2 linked regions of the Canis lupus familiaris genome follow. The protein of the gene in region 1 interacts with the protein of each later gene in a pairwise test. Links are inferred from orthologs where the notes say so. Each region holds a gene or a part of one and is shown in the gene's direction. Other genes may lie near its edges.

What was found. The genes of interacting proteins can lie anywhere in the genome.
Region 2: the proteins of ZNF410 (region 1) and SERTAD1 interact in binary tests that used the Homo sapiens proteins (3 or more experiments, as listed by UniProt). The two-hybrid records come from large-scale screens. The link is inferred for Canis lupus familiaris from reciprocal best matches to the Homo sapiens genes ZNF410 and SERTAD1.

What each region holds. Positions count from the first base shown.
Region 1 is NC_049229.1:47,425,354-47,432,983, forward strand, and holds the start of ZNF410 (zinc finger protein 410), read left to right. Parts: upstream 1-2,076; 5' UTR 2,077-2,172; intron 2,173-7,630. UniProt on the Homo sapiens protein: Transcription factor that binds to the sequence motif 5'-CATCCCATAATA-3', and is specifically required to silence expression of fetal hemoglobin in adult erythroid cells.
Region 2 is NC_049222.1:114,050,481-114,058,241, forward strand, and holds SERTAD1 (SERTA domain-containing protein 1), read left to right. Parts: upstream 1-3,819; 5' UTR 3,820-3,979; intron 3,980-4,431; exon of another isoform or gene 4,432-4,586; intron 4,587-5,677; coding exon 5,678-6,391; 3' UTR 6,392-6,739; downstream 6,740-7,761. UniProt on the Homo sapiens protein: Acts at E2F-responsive promoters as coregulator to integrate signals provided by PHD- and/or bromodomain-containing transcription factors. Stimulates E2F1/TFDP1 transcriptional activity.

The sequences.
Region 1 (7,630 bases):
CATAAATATTTACAGTAATAGATTGAAGTTAACATGACCTATTTTTCTTTCTTTTACTAAAACTGGTATTATATATGATATTTGATCAGATATTTGGAAACCACTGGAGATTTGATATAACTGTTTAATGGATTATACAAAATAAATGGATTTTTACAGTTAATAACTTTTATTTAAAATAGAATGCTTGTGAAGACATGTAGTAAATGTATGTTGACCTGGAAATGCTTTATATAATTCTTGAACTGTAACTTGGTATAAGAATAGAATTGGGATGGCTTTTCTGTATTGTAGATAGAAAAGGGATTTAATAGCAGGGCACGTGTTAGAGTTTGGGGGGTGGAATTTAGAGCTTGTGGAGTTTTCAGGATAGGAGAGCAGAGACTTTGTGTTGAGAAGATAAATAACAGGTCAGTCAGGTTGATGAAGAAACTAGTTTACTACAGAGGATGATCTGTGTTTTGCTAACTAGTTTCCTCTATAGCATAAAAACTCAATATATATTGATAAAGCATGTTTGTTTTAAGTTAGCAGGCATATACTGTCAAATAGCATAAAGATTTTCCAGGGCAAATAGATATAAACATCACTTGAAGTTTCAGGTGATTAGAAATATTTAGGCAATCAAGACAGCTTTAGAAAATGACAGGACTAAGAAAATTAACAAATGTTTGAAACATGAACGTTCAAAATTAATGTGCCTTTAAATAAGAGGATCTGTTTCATTAATTATAATCAGCCCTTTACAACAATAAAATTGATTTTATTTTCCTAGGTGCTGTGTTGGTTTATGGTCACCTGTTTACACCCTGCTCTATACTTTTGCCTGCGACATTTGTGGAAAGTAGATTTACATTGTTAGTAAATCAGTCACTCTGGTTGACTTCAGTGTTCTCGTTTTATATACCTTTCCTGGACCATTTCATCTCCAGAGAGCACTTCATCTCTGGTTTATATGTTGATAACTCCCAAATCTTTTTTTTTTCCTTTCTTTCCTTTCTTTCTTTTCTTTTTTTTTATTTAAAGATTTTATTTATTCATGAGAAACAGAGAGGCAGAGTGAGAAGCAGGCTTCTCGCAGGACCCTCATGCGGGACTCCATCCCAGGACCCTGGATCATGGCCTGGGCCAAAGGCAGAGTACATTTCTATTTCTGACCTCTTACTCGAGCTTAAGACCTCCCAAGTAAAATATCCTGTTGACACCTGGGATAAACTGTTTATCCAAAAAGAAATTACCTTCCTCTTACGTGTTTCTACTTTGTTTTTAAATCACCATCCTTTGCACACCCAAACTACTACTCCCTCACTCATTCAGATGCCTATCATTAAGGCTTGTGTTTAACCTTGAAAATAAATACCTTTCTTAGAGAACGCCTTTAATTTCCATCACTGCCACTGCCTCAGTTGAGGTCCTCATCCTTTGGCACACAGCAGGTACTCACAAATGAGTAATTTCAAAAGTCTCAACCGCATAAAGCTCTAACAAGTTAGTTGTGGCATCCAGCCTGGAGCTCAAGTGTTTTAGTCCCCAGTGTGGATATCCGAGACCTCTTTGCATCCTAACACAGGGAACCCAGACTCTAGGGAGATCATGTTACAAGGAAAGTCGTACACTCGAGTCTCAACTCTTACCCTGTGCGAATGCAATGCTGAGCTAGATTCTGCAAGTTCCCTTCTCAAGCAGTGAAGCTTCGAAGTGTTCCTCTTCAGTGAGAACTCTGGTCGGTGTTTAAGGAGTGCTCTCCTTCTCGCTGGCCTCCATTGTAACTAGTTCCGATCTCAGCTGACAGGAAAAACTACCTCATCTGCCGCTGCGAGGAAGCGGCGACGTCACGGCTGGAATGCACTGACCCCGTTTTTCGGGTTTCGCAGACCTCGGGGCCCCGAGGCCTGGAATGACTAGGACGCCGGAGACCGCAGCCCTAGTCCCGGGGGCGGGGGTCCAGCCCTGCTCAGACAGCCGGGTCCCCGCGCGCCTCGCCCGCCTCAGGCTGCCCCCGGCGCGGGGCGGCCGCCGTCCGGCCCGGGGCGAGCGAGTGGGTGTGAGCGTTGGGGGCCGGCCAAACTTCCTGTCCCGCGCTCCTGCTGCTTCCGGCGGGAGCCGGAAGACGCTGTGTGTGGACGGAATTCGGGACCGCCTGACGGCCGGCCGGCTGCCCGGGACGGAAAGGTGAGCGCCGGGCCGGGCCGGGCCACACCCGCGCGGCTAGGTGGTCCCCGGCAGGGAGGGAGCCGGTAGCGGCCTCTCGGGAGCTGGGGCCGAATTCGCTCCTCCTCCCCACCGCCCGGAGAGGACAGGGAAGCCGCCCCCCTTGGGCACCCCTCCCAGATCTGGCGGGCCCGGGAGCGGCCGGTCTAAAGCCCTGCGGCTTCGGCCCTGCCCCTCGCGGCGTAGTGGGGCGGAGGTTTCGGCTCCTTTGCTTGGTTTTGAGGGCGGGGGCTTGGGAACAAGACGGTCCCGAGAAAGCTGGAGTCAGCGAGTCCCCAGGGCGGGGGCTGCCGGACTGCACCCGCCGCCGGGCCTGCCCGCGGCCCTTGGGGCCTCACGCTAAGGCCGTTGCAGAGGGGGAACGAGGATGCCAAGGGACTCTGCCCTGGTTCTTTCGGCCCGGAGCTACCTTCTTCCTTCATACGTCCACTTACTTCCTGAGTCTAGGAGGAAGGCTGCCGGCTCTGAGGGGCTTGGCTGCTCGCTTCTCCTCCTGTCGTCTCCAGGCGAGGCTGTGGGCTGAATGCGTTCGCAGGTTAAATTTATCCTCTGAAGTTTCTTCAGAGACAAGAATGCAGTTAGTCGATTAAAGTTTATCCCACTTGCTCACGCATGTGGGATATGGGGCACCATTCGGAAGTTTAAATATTGCTAACTTGGGACTCAAGAATTTGTATTTCTTCACTTTGGCACGCGGGTCAATGCAACATACTTTCAATGAGAGTGAAAGAAACATTCTGAAATAAAGTCAGTGGCATTTTGTTGTTAGGGAGTGAGAAATTCCACTTTGGGTGATCTTAGCGTGGACAGAGTAAACTCAACTGAACAGAAGATTTAGGTTCTTCTTATTTTTTTTTTAAAAGATTTTATTTATTTATGAGAGACACACACAGAGAGAGAGGCAGAGACACAGGCAGAGGGAGAAGCAGGCTCCATGCAGGGAGCCCGACGTGGGACTCGATCCCGGGTCTCCAGGATCAGACCCTGGACTGAAGGCAGGTGCTAAACCGCTGGGCCACTGGGGCTGCCCTTAGGTTCTTATTTTTAAAAATTCTGCATCTAAGTAAATGTCTGAATTTTTGACAAGTTACTTAATCTCTAGCTCCCCCCTCCCCCCAGGGGAAGAGACTTACCTATTTATTCAACAGATACTTCCTGAATGCTTAATTTGTTCAAAGCATCATACTTGGTTAATGCAGAGTTAGAATGAATAAATTCAGCGGCCTTAACCAGTGAAAAAAATATGCATGTAGACAATTAACAACCAAGACAGAATGGAATAATTGCTAAAGAGAGGTGAAACAGTGTGTTGTGAGAACACCAAGGAAAAGAGAGATTTGTTCTTACTGGAGGGAAAGGATCAGAGTCTTACTGGAGGACGGCACTTGAGTTGGATTTTAAAGACTGGAAAGGATTTTAAAACATCGCAACTGGATTGGCAGTACTTATTACTGGTTGAAGAACTAGTCTAAGCAAAGACTTGAGCACTGATATAGGCTGGTGTGTTCATTCAAAAGCCAGTCCCTGTCGGCTGGAGTAAAGGGTTAATTGAGGAATATGGACAGTGCTGTAACTGGAACAGTAGTTGAGGATACATTGTAGAATATTTGAAATGCCATGCTGCCAGGCTTAGGAATTTTCTCAGGCCCTGAATTTTGAATGAGTAGAGTAACATAAGCATTTCTGTGTTTTAGAAAGATAACGCAAGTGGCTGCATAAAAAGGTGGACTGAGGGACGCCTGGGTGGTCAGCAGTTTAGCGCCTGCCTTCGGCCCAGGGCGTGATCCTGGAGTCCCGGGATTGAGTCCCACATGGGGCTCCCTGGATGGAGCCTGCTTCTCCCTCTGCCTGTATCTCTACCTCTCTCTCTCTGTGTCTCTCATGAATAAATTAAAAAAAAAAAAAGGCAGATTGAAAAGGGAATTTTTAGGGCAGCTTGACCCCTTAGAAGCCTATTTTAATAGCGTAGTTGAAAGATAATGAGCCCTAAACAGAGTATTACAGGAGGAATAAATCTGAGGGAGTCAGAACTACTGGGGTTATTTATTTATTTTTTAAATAGTGGTTTTATTGGTTACATATATTTCAGCTATCTACTGGGGTTATTTAAATATGGAGGATGAGATATTGTTAAAGACCTAGAATTTGCAGCTGAGTGGGAAGAAGATTGGGCAATAATTTAAGTGGATAATATAGGAAGAACAGGTTTGGTGGTGGAGATGATAATCTGGATTTTGGACATTGTTGGTTTGAGATGGATATCCAAGCAGTTAGAAATGAAATCTGGAGTTTATTTTTTTTATTTTTTATTTTTTAATTTTTATTTATTTATTTATGATAGTCACAGAGAGAGAGAGAGGCAGAGACACAGGCAGAGGGAGAAGCAGGCTCCATGCACCGGAAGCCCCATGCGGGATTCGATCCCGGGTCTCCAGGATCGCACCCTGGGTCAAAGGCAGGCGCCAAACCGCTGCGCCACCCAGGGATCCCGAAATCTGGAGTTTAGAAGAAAGGTCAGGAATAGAGACAAATTTTTGGTATTATTTGCATGTCATTCATTCATTGTACGGATACTTAGTGCCTACTAAGTGCTTGCAGGGAAGTTTATATGGAAGCCCTTTAATCTCATAGTAAATACAATCTTAGAGTGTCACAGTATCAGAAATGACTCTTGGAGATGTAACTTCCTTATGAATTACATATAGTACTTTGCCAGACACTGTGTTAGGTAGGGGAAAGTAAAGTTATGAACAAGACAGACTAGTTCCTGCCCTTATTTATGGAACTTAAAATTTAGGAGGTAGCCAGACAAAAAACAAATACTATATAAAACTAAAGGAATTAGAAATAGGAGAGTTAGAGACTAAAGATGGAAGTATTAGGAATATTCTTTGGGTAAGGTGGTCAGGCAGACAAAGCCTTTCTAAATGAGTTGATAGTTAGAGCCCAAAGGAGTGAAAAAGAGCTAACCAATGGAGAGAGGGGACAGTGTTCCAAGGTAGAGGAAATGACATGTGCACATCTCTAACATCAGAAAGAGCTTAATTTGTTCAAGGAACTAAGATGGCTAGAGCTTGGTGAGCAGAGAGTGACTCTGGAGTGTGGTTGGGGAACGAGGAGAGGATCACATAGGTTCTTATAGGCTAGGATAAAGAGTTTGGATTTTTTCTAGGTGCATTGGGATGCCAAGTAAAGAATTTCAAGCAGGTGAGTGAGATCACATTTTAAGATAATCCTTACTACTGTGAAGAGAATAGAGTGGAGGGAGACAAGAGCAGGGAGACCAGTTAGGTAGCACTAACAGTAGTTTTAGAGCAAGTGTTGATGCTGGCCTGAAAAAGGGAGGTGGCAGTAGAGATAGAAATAGGTGGATTTGCTGTCTCAATAGGACTTGCAGCTGGACTGGATATTGGGAGCAAAGGAAAGAAAGTAATAAAAATGACTCCTAAATGGGGTCAGTGGTGGTCCCAGCTTGAGTGGAGGGTTGTGGTGAATGAGACTGGCGTGGTGTGATGGCAGATAGGGTTGGGAGAGAATTCATTTTGGACATATTAAATTTGAGATATCGAGTTAAAACGTTAAGCAGAGACGTCAAGTAAGCAATTGTATATACAGGTCTGCAGCTCAGAGTATTAGAGCTATAGATAAAAATTTTGGTAGTGAGCACCAGGTGTTGTATGGAAGAAATGAATAACTGTTATATACCTGAAACTAATATTACACTGTATGTTAACTAATTGGAATTTAAATAAAAACTTTAAAAAATTGGCGACAGTATCATTTAAAGATACAAATTCACACTTGGAGGATATTGTAGCAAGAAGAGAGAGCCTGAATAGTATCCTGAGGAATATTAATATTTAGAGGCAGAGTGCAGGAAGAGTATAGGGATTACCAAAGGAAACTAGAAGAAGAAGAAAAAAAAAGGAAACTAGAAGAATGGCAATGATGAGAGAGTAAAATGAACATGTATCTTGGAAGCAGAGAGTGTAAGTAAAGTATTTGAGAAAGGAGGCAGTACTTCTAAGGGATAATACCAATTATGGCTCTGGTTACAAGTGACTAGTTTGCTTCAGAAGAGGAATTCATAACAAAGGTGTGGGCAGCTCTTGGGATTAAAGAGATGATGAAGGCCCTGGCTTTATGAAGGACAGGAATCCGAGCAGCCCCAGGGGAATCTGCTCGCATCATTACTGGCATGAATGGGCTGCTGCAGCAGTTTTCAACCCTTTGTTACTTCTTTTACAATTCACATTCTGAGGAAAAGTGTCTGTTTTGTTCAATGTGGGTCAAGTGTGCAACAGTTGGCCAATGAAGAAAAGAATACCTTAATCTATGATCTTACCAAGGGCATATCCAATGGGAGAGGCTTAGATCCCCAAACATAACACCGATTTATCACTCAAGCAGGGGAAATGAATGTGGGACAATTAAAAACAATAGTTGCTCATTGCAAAGGTCAAGTAAGATTAGGGCTCCAAAGTGTCTATCGAATTTGGTAACATGAAGATTTTTGGTAACCTTTACAAGAGAAGTTTTGGTGAAGTGATGGGATTGGATAGTGATTGGAGAGTTGAAAGTGGAGACCAGTCTCTTGATAAATTTGGCTCTAAAGAATTGGAGAGAAATGGGGAGGTGACTAGAATAAAAATGAGGGCTATGGGAATGGAACACCTCAGCAGATCCTGGAAAGGAAGACGGAAGGTCCAGGATGAACCTGATAGTTTCTAAAATTCATTCTGGCTTCACAGTTCTCCATTCCAAATTTCTTTCACTAGTACCTGTTATTTACTACTTTATTGTTAGAATTTAATCAACTTTCATAATATACTAGATATGACTATAAAAGGTTACTTGGTTTTTCTTTCCCCTAGGACTATTGTTTTATACCAAAATTTAAACTGCTTTTTAAATTTTACTTTAATTTTTGATCATGGTAATTCCCTACCATTAGTAGAATTTTTGTTTTAGTTTTTAATCTTTAGTGAAGCATTGTTTGGATCTATATTTGTGGTCAGCCGGAGGTAGATATGGAGGGAGAAGCAGATTGGTGACCAGCTGGGGGACCACGGTGTTTCTCAATTTCTTGCCTCTTTTTTCTCACTGCCCCACCCTTCTCCTTTCTGAAACTGGGTCAAGGCATTTTCTACCTCCCTCAAATAAGAGCAGTATTGATGTTCTAGACTTTGTTTTCCTAGGATGGAATTACATTGCTTATTAGAAGTCGACACAATGATACTGTTTGTTTCTTGAGATAGCAGTAAGAGCCCCTGGTCATCTTTCCCTTTGGAATACACTCCCTTCTGTATGGCAGTCAGGATTGAGACAAGATACCTGTATCAGCTCTGTTCCAATGCTGCGTGTTTAGTTTATTTTGGCTTGTTTTTTCCACCCAATATGTCTCCATGTAGCCTGTATT
Region 2 (7,761 bases), on another chromosome or scaffold:
GAGCCTTACCGAATGAGATGAATCCATGGAAGGCTGCTGAGCAGAGGAGGGACGAGACCTCACTCACCTTTTTTTTTTTTTTTAATTTTTATTTATTTAGGATAGTCACAGAGAGAGAGAGAGAGAGGCAGAGACACAGGCAGAGGGAGAAGCAGGCTCCATGCACCGGGAGCCCGACGTGGGATTCGATCCCGGGTCTCCAGGATCGCGCCCTGGGCCAAAGGCAGGCGCCAAACCGCTGCGCCACCCAGGGATCCCTCACTCACCTTTTAATAGGCCCTCTTTGCCCCACAGATAACCGAGTGAAAAGGCATCGTGTAGCTTGCTAGCAGCACAGTGGGGGGCAGCTTAAGGAGCACCCCCACTTTCCAGATAAACTGAGGCTCGGAGAGGCCCAGCTCTTGCCGGGTTGAAGAACTGAGAGCAGTGGAGAGGCCTGGCCCGCACAGTGACCGGGTCTGAGGGCAGAGTCCACCCTCCCCAAACCGCCCGCCTCCCGCCCGCGGCGAGGGAGGGGGCGGGGGCGGCAGGAGGGAGGGGGCGCGGCCGCCTCGGGGGCGTGGCCGCGCCGGGCCCCGCCCACTCGCCCCTCCCCCCGGAGCTGGCGGCGCGGCCGAATGCCCCGCGGGCGGCGGCGGCGGCGGGAGCCGGCCCGGCGCCTGCTGGCTCCCCAGAGGCCGGGTGCGGCGGCCGGCCGGGGGCGGGCGCGCCCCTCCCCCTCCCCCTCCCCGCGGGCGGAGGCTCCTCCCCGGGCCTGCCGGGCACGCCGGCTGGCTTCTGGCTTCTGGTTTCATTTCCCAAGGCCTGACCTCTCTCCCTTTCCCTTCCCCCAGCCCTTTGAATTCCTGGCTCCTTCTGCGCTCTCTGGTCTCAGCTCCGGGGTCGCCTCCTCAGGGACGCTCCCCTGGACCACCCTGGCACAGGCCTCCCTAGTCTCCGCCCCTATTTTGTTTTCTTCGAGGCACTGAGCGGAGACCGAAATTCTCTTCTTCCTCATTCATCTCGCAGGGTCTCGTCCCGCTCGGAATAAAAACCTAACGTTCCGCCGAGGGCTCTAAACGGCCTGAAAGCTTCTCCGACCCCGCCAGGCAGCCTGCAGCCCGGGGACACTGGCCCGGCTCCCGGCCCGCTCGGGCTTCGCGGCCTTTGCTTTGGCCCTGCCCTCTGGCTGGAAGATTCTTCTTCCAGAGCTTTACTACCTCTCTCATTTCACCGGGTCTACTCAATGTCACCTCCTCAGGGAACTTTCTACCAGCACCAGCACCAGCACCCTATCTACAGACACCGCACACCACACACACTTTCCTCTCCTGCTCTGCTTTATTCCTTTCCTTTTCACTGGTCACCTTCCAAGATACTAAATTATTTCTTTATTATAAAGTGTATGGTCCACCTCCTCACATCAGGGATTTTTGTCTATAATATTGCTGCCCTATCATCAATACCTGCCAGAGTGCCTGGCACACAGAAGGTGTTCCATCCATGAGTGTTTTTGTTTTCACACTTCTTTCCTCTGCTTACCCCTCTCCTGATCCATGAACAGAGAGACCGTGTGAGGCTTATCCAGTACTGTACCCCTAGTGTCTACCACGGTGCCTAGAATACAGTAGATGCTCAATAAATACATGTTAATCAAGCTCTTGAGACTCCTGTGAGCTCTCCAGCATGTGATCCGGAGCAAGCCACTTGGAGACTCAGAGCCACCTTTTTTTCCCAGGTCATGAAGATAGGTTAGGGAGAAAATTCTGTGAATTTGCCTGGCAGGGGCCTGGTTCTAATTAGCATTTTACTCTGTTTTTATTATGAAAAATTTTAAGCATATATTAAACATGGGGGGGGGCATGTAGCTATCCCCCCCACCACTTCCCAAATCAGGATTTAGTAAGAGTTCCTATGCTTATTTGGTTGTAATAAAGAAATCATATAGTAACTTTCATTCTGGAAAATTCTCCACCACCAACCCCACCAGTCCCTTTCTCTGTTTTCTCAAAATTGAATTTTTGGTGGAACAGCCTAGTTGTGCTTGCAGATGTCCCACATTCTGTATTTGTGTTCCTGTAAAATTTGTTCCTCTCTGTTTCCTGTAAGCTGAAGATTAGGTCTAGAGGCTCCATGAGATTCAGTTTGTGAAAGTTAACAGGGAGACTCCATAGGGAATGTCATGTACTTCCTAATGCATCATGTCAGGTGGCACCCAGTGTCAGGGTGTCCCATTATGGTGGATGTAGAGTTTTATTGCATGGTTAAGGTGGTGAGCATCACATCTCCACATCATAAAAGACTATTTCCCCCTTTGCAGTTTGTAAGTAACCCTAGTAGAGGTATGTGTGGGAGCCTGCCAAGATCCGGTTAACCTTTCACCCTAAGGTTTGAACATCCATTGATAATTGCTACCTGAATCAACTAGTTTAGTTAGCATTTTCTAGAGCTTACTTTGGCCAGGAACTCTATTCACAACAGTTCTTCCCACAATTCAAAAAGAGTTAGCAAATGAGCTACTTGGAGAAGTTAAGTCCCCTTGTCAGTTTACCAGACAAGCGTTAACTTCCTGTCTACCCATACCCGACCCCAGGTGTCCTGCCTTGAATTAAGCACCTGTGCTATAACCACAACAGCTATTACTACCAACAAAAGGACATGTTGTGCACCATTCTGAGCACTTTGTGGGATTATTTTTTTCTTTTTTTATTTATTTGAGAGAGAGCATGAGCAAGGGGGAGGGGTAGAGGGAGATGGAGAAGCAGACTCCCTGCTGAGTAGGGAGCCAGATGTGGGACTTGATCCCAGAACCCTAGGATCATGACCTGAGCCACCCACACGCCCCTCTTTTTTTCTTTTAGATCTTATTTTTATGAAATGTCTACACCTGGGACGCCTGGGTGGGTCAGCGGTTGAGCATCTATCTGCCTTTGCCTCAGGTCATGATCCTGGGATCTAGAATTGAATCTTGTTTGGGCTCCCACCAGGGAGCCTGCCTCTCCCTCTGCCTGTGTCTCTCATGAGTAAATAAATAAAATCTTAAAAAAAAAAAAAAAAAAAAGAATCTCTGCCCCCAGCGCGGGGGCCTTGAACTCATAACTTAGAGGTCAAGAGTCACATGCTCTCGACTGAGCCTGCCTCGGGCCCCTGTGTGATTATTCTTTTTAATCCTCAAAATACTCTCATTTTAAAAAGGTGAGGAAACTGAGACCTTTGGGATTAAAATTACTTGCCCAAGGTCACACAGCTACTTAGGGAATGGAGCCCAGGATGTGACTCCAGTGGCTCTATTCCTATCCCCACCGGCTCCCCCTCCCCCTCCTGTAACCACTATTGAGTCCAACTGCTCAGCATTTGCTTAGTGCGCTATGGTGCTCTTAAAGACACAACCTTATTTTAATTTTCCCGACTCTCAAGAGGTAGGCAAGAAGCTGTCCATTTAACAGACTTTGTGTGTGGCTCAGAGAGGTCCAAGGATTTTTTTTTCCCTAGATCGCACGTTGAGTAAGTGGTCAGAATTTGAACCCATGCTTATCTGGCTTAGAGTGCAGACCTCTGTTAGGACTGGGTCTGTAAGTTGCTCAATTGCTGGGTTTGGCAAATGTACGGGCAGGTGTGAGGGGCTCACACCTTGAGAAGGAAGAAACCCCTCCCAGCCACTGCCCCGCAGTGAACACAGCCACCCCACCTGGCCTCGGCTCCTTACACAGTCGCCAGGCATGCGCCCTGAAGCCACCCTCCCCTCCCTTCGAACCTTCCTTCTCCAGGCCCCGCCCATCACCGCCCAAGGCCAATCGCGGGCCGAGGGCGGGGCCACCGCGGGAGTGGGCGGTAGTTAAGGGGAGTCAGGAGCCTGGAGTCGTGCGCCGGAGTCAGAACTGCGTCTACCGACCCAGGCGCCGGCTGCTGAAGGAGAGCGAGCGAGCGATGCTGCCGTCGCCGCTCCCTGATTGGCTGCGCGTGGATCCCTCTTCGTTCTGATTGGCAGCGGGTGAGCTAGGTATGTAAATGAAGTGAAGGGGGCCGAGGCGAGAAGGGAAACCCGCGAGGGGGTCGTTTGGCAGGTTCGATCCCCGGGTCCGGCCGGTGCGCGCCGGGGCTGCCCGGGATCGAGATGCGCGGGCCCCCGAGTGTCGCCCGGCCGGGCTGGGTGAATCACGCCGCAGCCCGGGAAGGGGGCGGAGGCGCCGGCTCTCTGGCTCCGGCTGCGTGACTCACCCGCCCCCGCCGCCGCCGCCGCTTCGGGAGGAGCCGCCTCCACTGCCTGCCGGAAGCGAGCACAGGCCGAGAGAGCAGAACAGCCCTCGGGGTTCCCGGCCCGCACGGCCCTGCGCTGCGGGCAGGAACGACAGCCAGGACGTGGGGCCGTATCGAGGATCCCGGGGTCCGAGGGGCCGGAATCCCCGGGGAAAGCCGTTCTGGCGCCGCTAGGGGGCGCCGGGACGGGGGGGCGGAGTCCGGGGAGGGGGGCGCCTGAATTCCTGCGGTTCTGGACTCCCGGGTCTTCGGGGAAGGAGGCGAGGACCGTTTTGAGAAGTGTGAGGAGTCGCTTTTAAGGTCCTGTTGGGCAAGGGGATTGGAGCCTTCAAGCTTCCAGGCTCAAGAAAGTAAGTTGGGCCTGGCGTCCAGAACGCCAGGGGCCCCTATCTCGGGGAGAGTGTGGGTCCTCAAAGTTCTCTTGGTGACCCCCCGGTGCCGGTCAGGATTTCCCAGCGAGCCATGTCTACTCTGCCTCCCAAAGAAATCCGGAAGCAACCAACTTCTTTCCATGTCCACTGCCCTCCACCTTCCACTTCAGGCCCCCACCATCACCCGCCCCAGAGCGCGGTGGCCTCTGAATGGAGCTCAGGACCGCGCTCTTCCCCGTTTCCCTTCCTTTCACCCTCATCTAACTCGAAGCAGCCGAGGGGGGATCTTCTGGAAATCTAATCAGTTCACAACACCACCCGTGTTCCCTGCTCAAAATCCTTCAATGACACTCACAGTAAAATCCAAACTCCTTGCCTCTGCTTGCTCTCCAAACCCGGTCCCCTTCCGTGTCACTCTGCGCTGACCACACTGGTGTTTTATTTTGTTTTGTTTTGTTTTGTTTTTTTTCAGTTCATGCTCATCCAGCCTCCAGGTCTTTCTTTGCCCTTGTTGTTCTCTCTTCCCGGAATGCTTTCCCCTGGTCCTTCTGTGGGTGGCTCCTCCTGCTTGAGGAAGGGTCAGCTAAAATGTCACCTCGGAGGAGCCTTCCGTGACCACTCCCCAGAACCTTTGAATATCTTCCTAGCACACCTCTACATTTCCTGTATTTATTTATTTATTTGTCTGATGGGTAGTAGACAGTAAGTGTCGGATGGAACTATGTAAAACAGCTGCTTTCATGAGTTAAAAAGATTGAATTTTGGGCATTTCACATGGTTCACTGAAGAAATACATAATAATAGCTATTAAGAGTATTTGTTAATAAGAATCGTTACAATGTACTAGGCACTGTTGTAAGTGCTTTTTTGTACGTTACCACATTTACTCTATATAACAGCTCCATGAGGTAGATACTATGATCACTCATATCTTCAGGTTTCCCTAAGAAAGCACAGGTTCAAGAAATTAAATGGCCTGCTCAAGATCACACCAGACATAAGTTATCAGAGACAGGGTTTTTAACTTAACATTGACTTTCCATAACTGAATGACTCCTCCCTCCCTGCAGATGATGCTGAGCAAAGGTCTGAAGCGCAAGCGGGAGGAGGAGCGGGAGAAGGAAGCCCTGGCAGTGGACTCCTGGTGGCTGGATCCCAGCCTCCCAGCAGTGGCACAGGCCCCCCCGGCCGTGGCCTCCAGTTCCCTCTTGGACCTTTCTGTGCTCAAGCTCCACCACAGCCTGCGGCAGAGTGAGCCGGACCTGCGGCACCTGGTACTGGTAGTGAACACGCTGCGGCGCATCCAGGCATCCATGGCACCTGAACCTACCCTGCCACCTGTGCCCAGCCCGCCTGCGGCCCCTTGTGTGGCTGACAATCTGCTGGCCAGCTCAGACGCTGCCCTCTCAGCCTCCATGGCCAGCCTTCTGGAGGACCTCAGCCATATCGAGGGCCTGAGCCAGGCCCCCCAGCCCTTGGTGGACGAGGGGCCACCGGGCCGCCCCACTGGAGGATCCCCACCCAACCTGGGTGCCTTGGACCTGCTGGGCCCAGCCACTGGCTGTCTGCTGGACGATGAGCTTGAGGGTCTGTTTGAGGACATCGACACCTCTATGTATGACAGTGAACTTTGGGCACCAGCCTCCGAGGGCCTCAAACCTGGCCCTGAGGATGGGCCTGGCAAGGAGGAGGCTCTGGAACTGGATGAGGCTGAGCTGGACTACCTCCTGGACGTGTTGGTGGGCACACAGGCACTGGAGCGGCCACCGGGTCCAGGGCGCTGATCCCCACAACTGGGATGGTGGTCTGGTGTCCAAACTGAGCCTGGTGGCTGGACCAACTCTCCTTGGAAAGACACAGCTGGCTTCCTTAGAGCAGAGAGAGGGCCTTTGGAGAGACAGAATCCAGTCCTGAGCAACTTCACCTCTGTCCTCTTGTCTAGGACTAATGAGGGGAGTCTGGGATTGGCCCTTGGGATGGGATCACAGGGCCTGGTGGCTGGAATGTGATTTGGACCGGGCCCTGTACTGGACTGAATCCCCAGGGGTTATAGCCTGGGATACTCTTTCCCTGATGTGGGAAGAGACCGCACCATTTTATGGAAATTAAAAACCAGTCCTGGGAAATTTCAAGTCTGTGTGCTTTGTCTCTGGGCTAAGGCAAGGGTATCATGATGTTCTCCAACATTTAGTGAGCATGGACTGTGTGTACCTGGCACAGTGCTTAGCACTGGACGTGTGTTAACTCTTCCCATCAGCTGAACAAGGTGGGCATTATTACTATCCTCACTTTACAGCCCAGAAGCTCTGAGAGGTCATCACGTGTGGAGGTGGGTTTCAAATCGTGAGCTTTACTGCTTTATTGGTTTGATAAGCAGATCAATTAGCTCTGGTAACTGGCCCTCTAGAAAACTCCCCAGAACATACCCAGCCAGGTTTCCCTGATGCACCTGTGTGTGTACATAATGGTGGTGGTGGCCATGGAGGAACCTGGGCCCCTTGAAGTCGTGTCCTTCCTTGCTTGGAGTGTACCTGTGTGTCTTGGAGCTGGCGAGGGGTGGGGGGTGGGGGGTGGAGGTGGGCAAAAGGGAGCTTTCAGAATGAGCCAGAAATAAAAGCCCAAAGGTGGAAGCTGGATGGAGCCTCTCCAAAGAACACGGAGAGCAGGCTCTCCAGGAAAATGGGGAAAGATAACGAGACTCCAGCAAGTTAAAAAAAAAAAAAAAATCCACTCGGGATCTCACATCTGTCTTTGAGCAGGGGATAGGGCACCTTGGAGGGTGACTCTGAAATAAAGCCACCGGGCTTAGTGGCTTGACCGCCAGGCCGGCCGTCCTGCTTTTCCTTCTAGAAGAAACCCAGGCCCGGGCCGAGGCCACCTGCCAGACTGCTTGTGCGATAGGGCTGGCCCGAGCGCCGGGTGTCTGCGCCGCCCCCGCCGTCCAGCCGCATTCCTGGCCCGGCTGGGAGGGGCCGCACACTCAGAGGCCTGGCACGGGACCCAGGCGGCGTCCTTCCTGGCGCTGGGGGCAGGGCAGCGCCGGGTGCGGGCGGGGGAGGGGCGCGGCGGGGGCGGGGGCGGGGGCCGGGGAGGGGCAGAGGGCCGGACGGCGGCCCCGGGCCCAGCTGGGCCTCGATCGCGGGGTCGCCGGCCC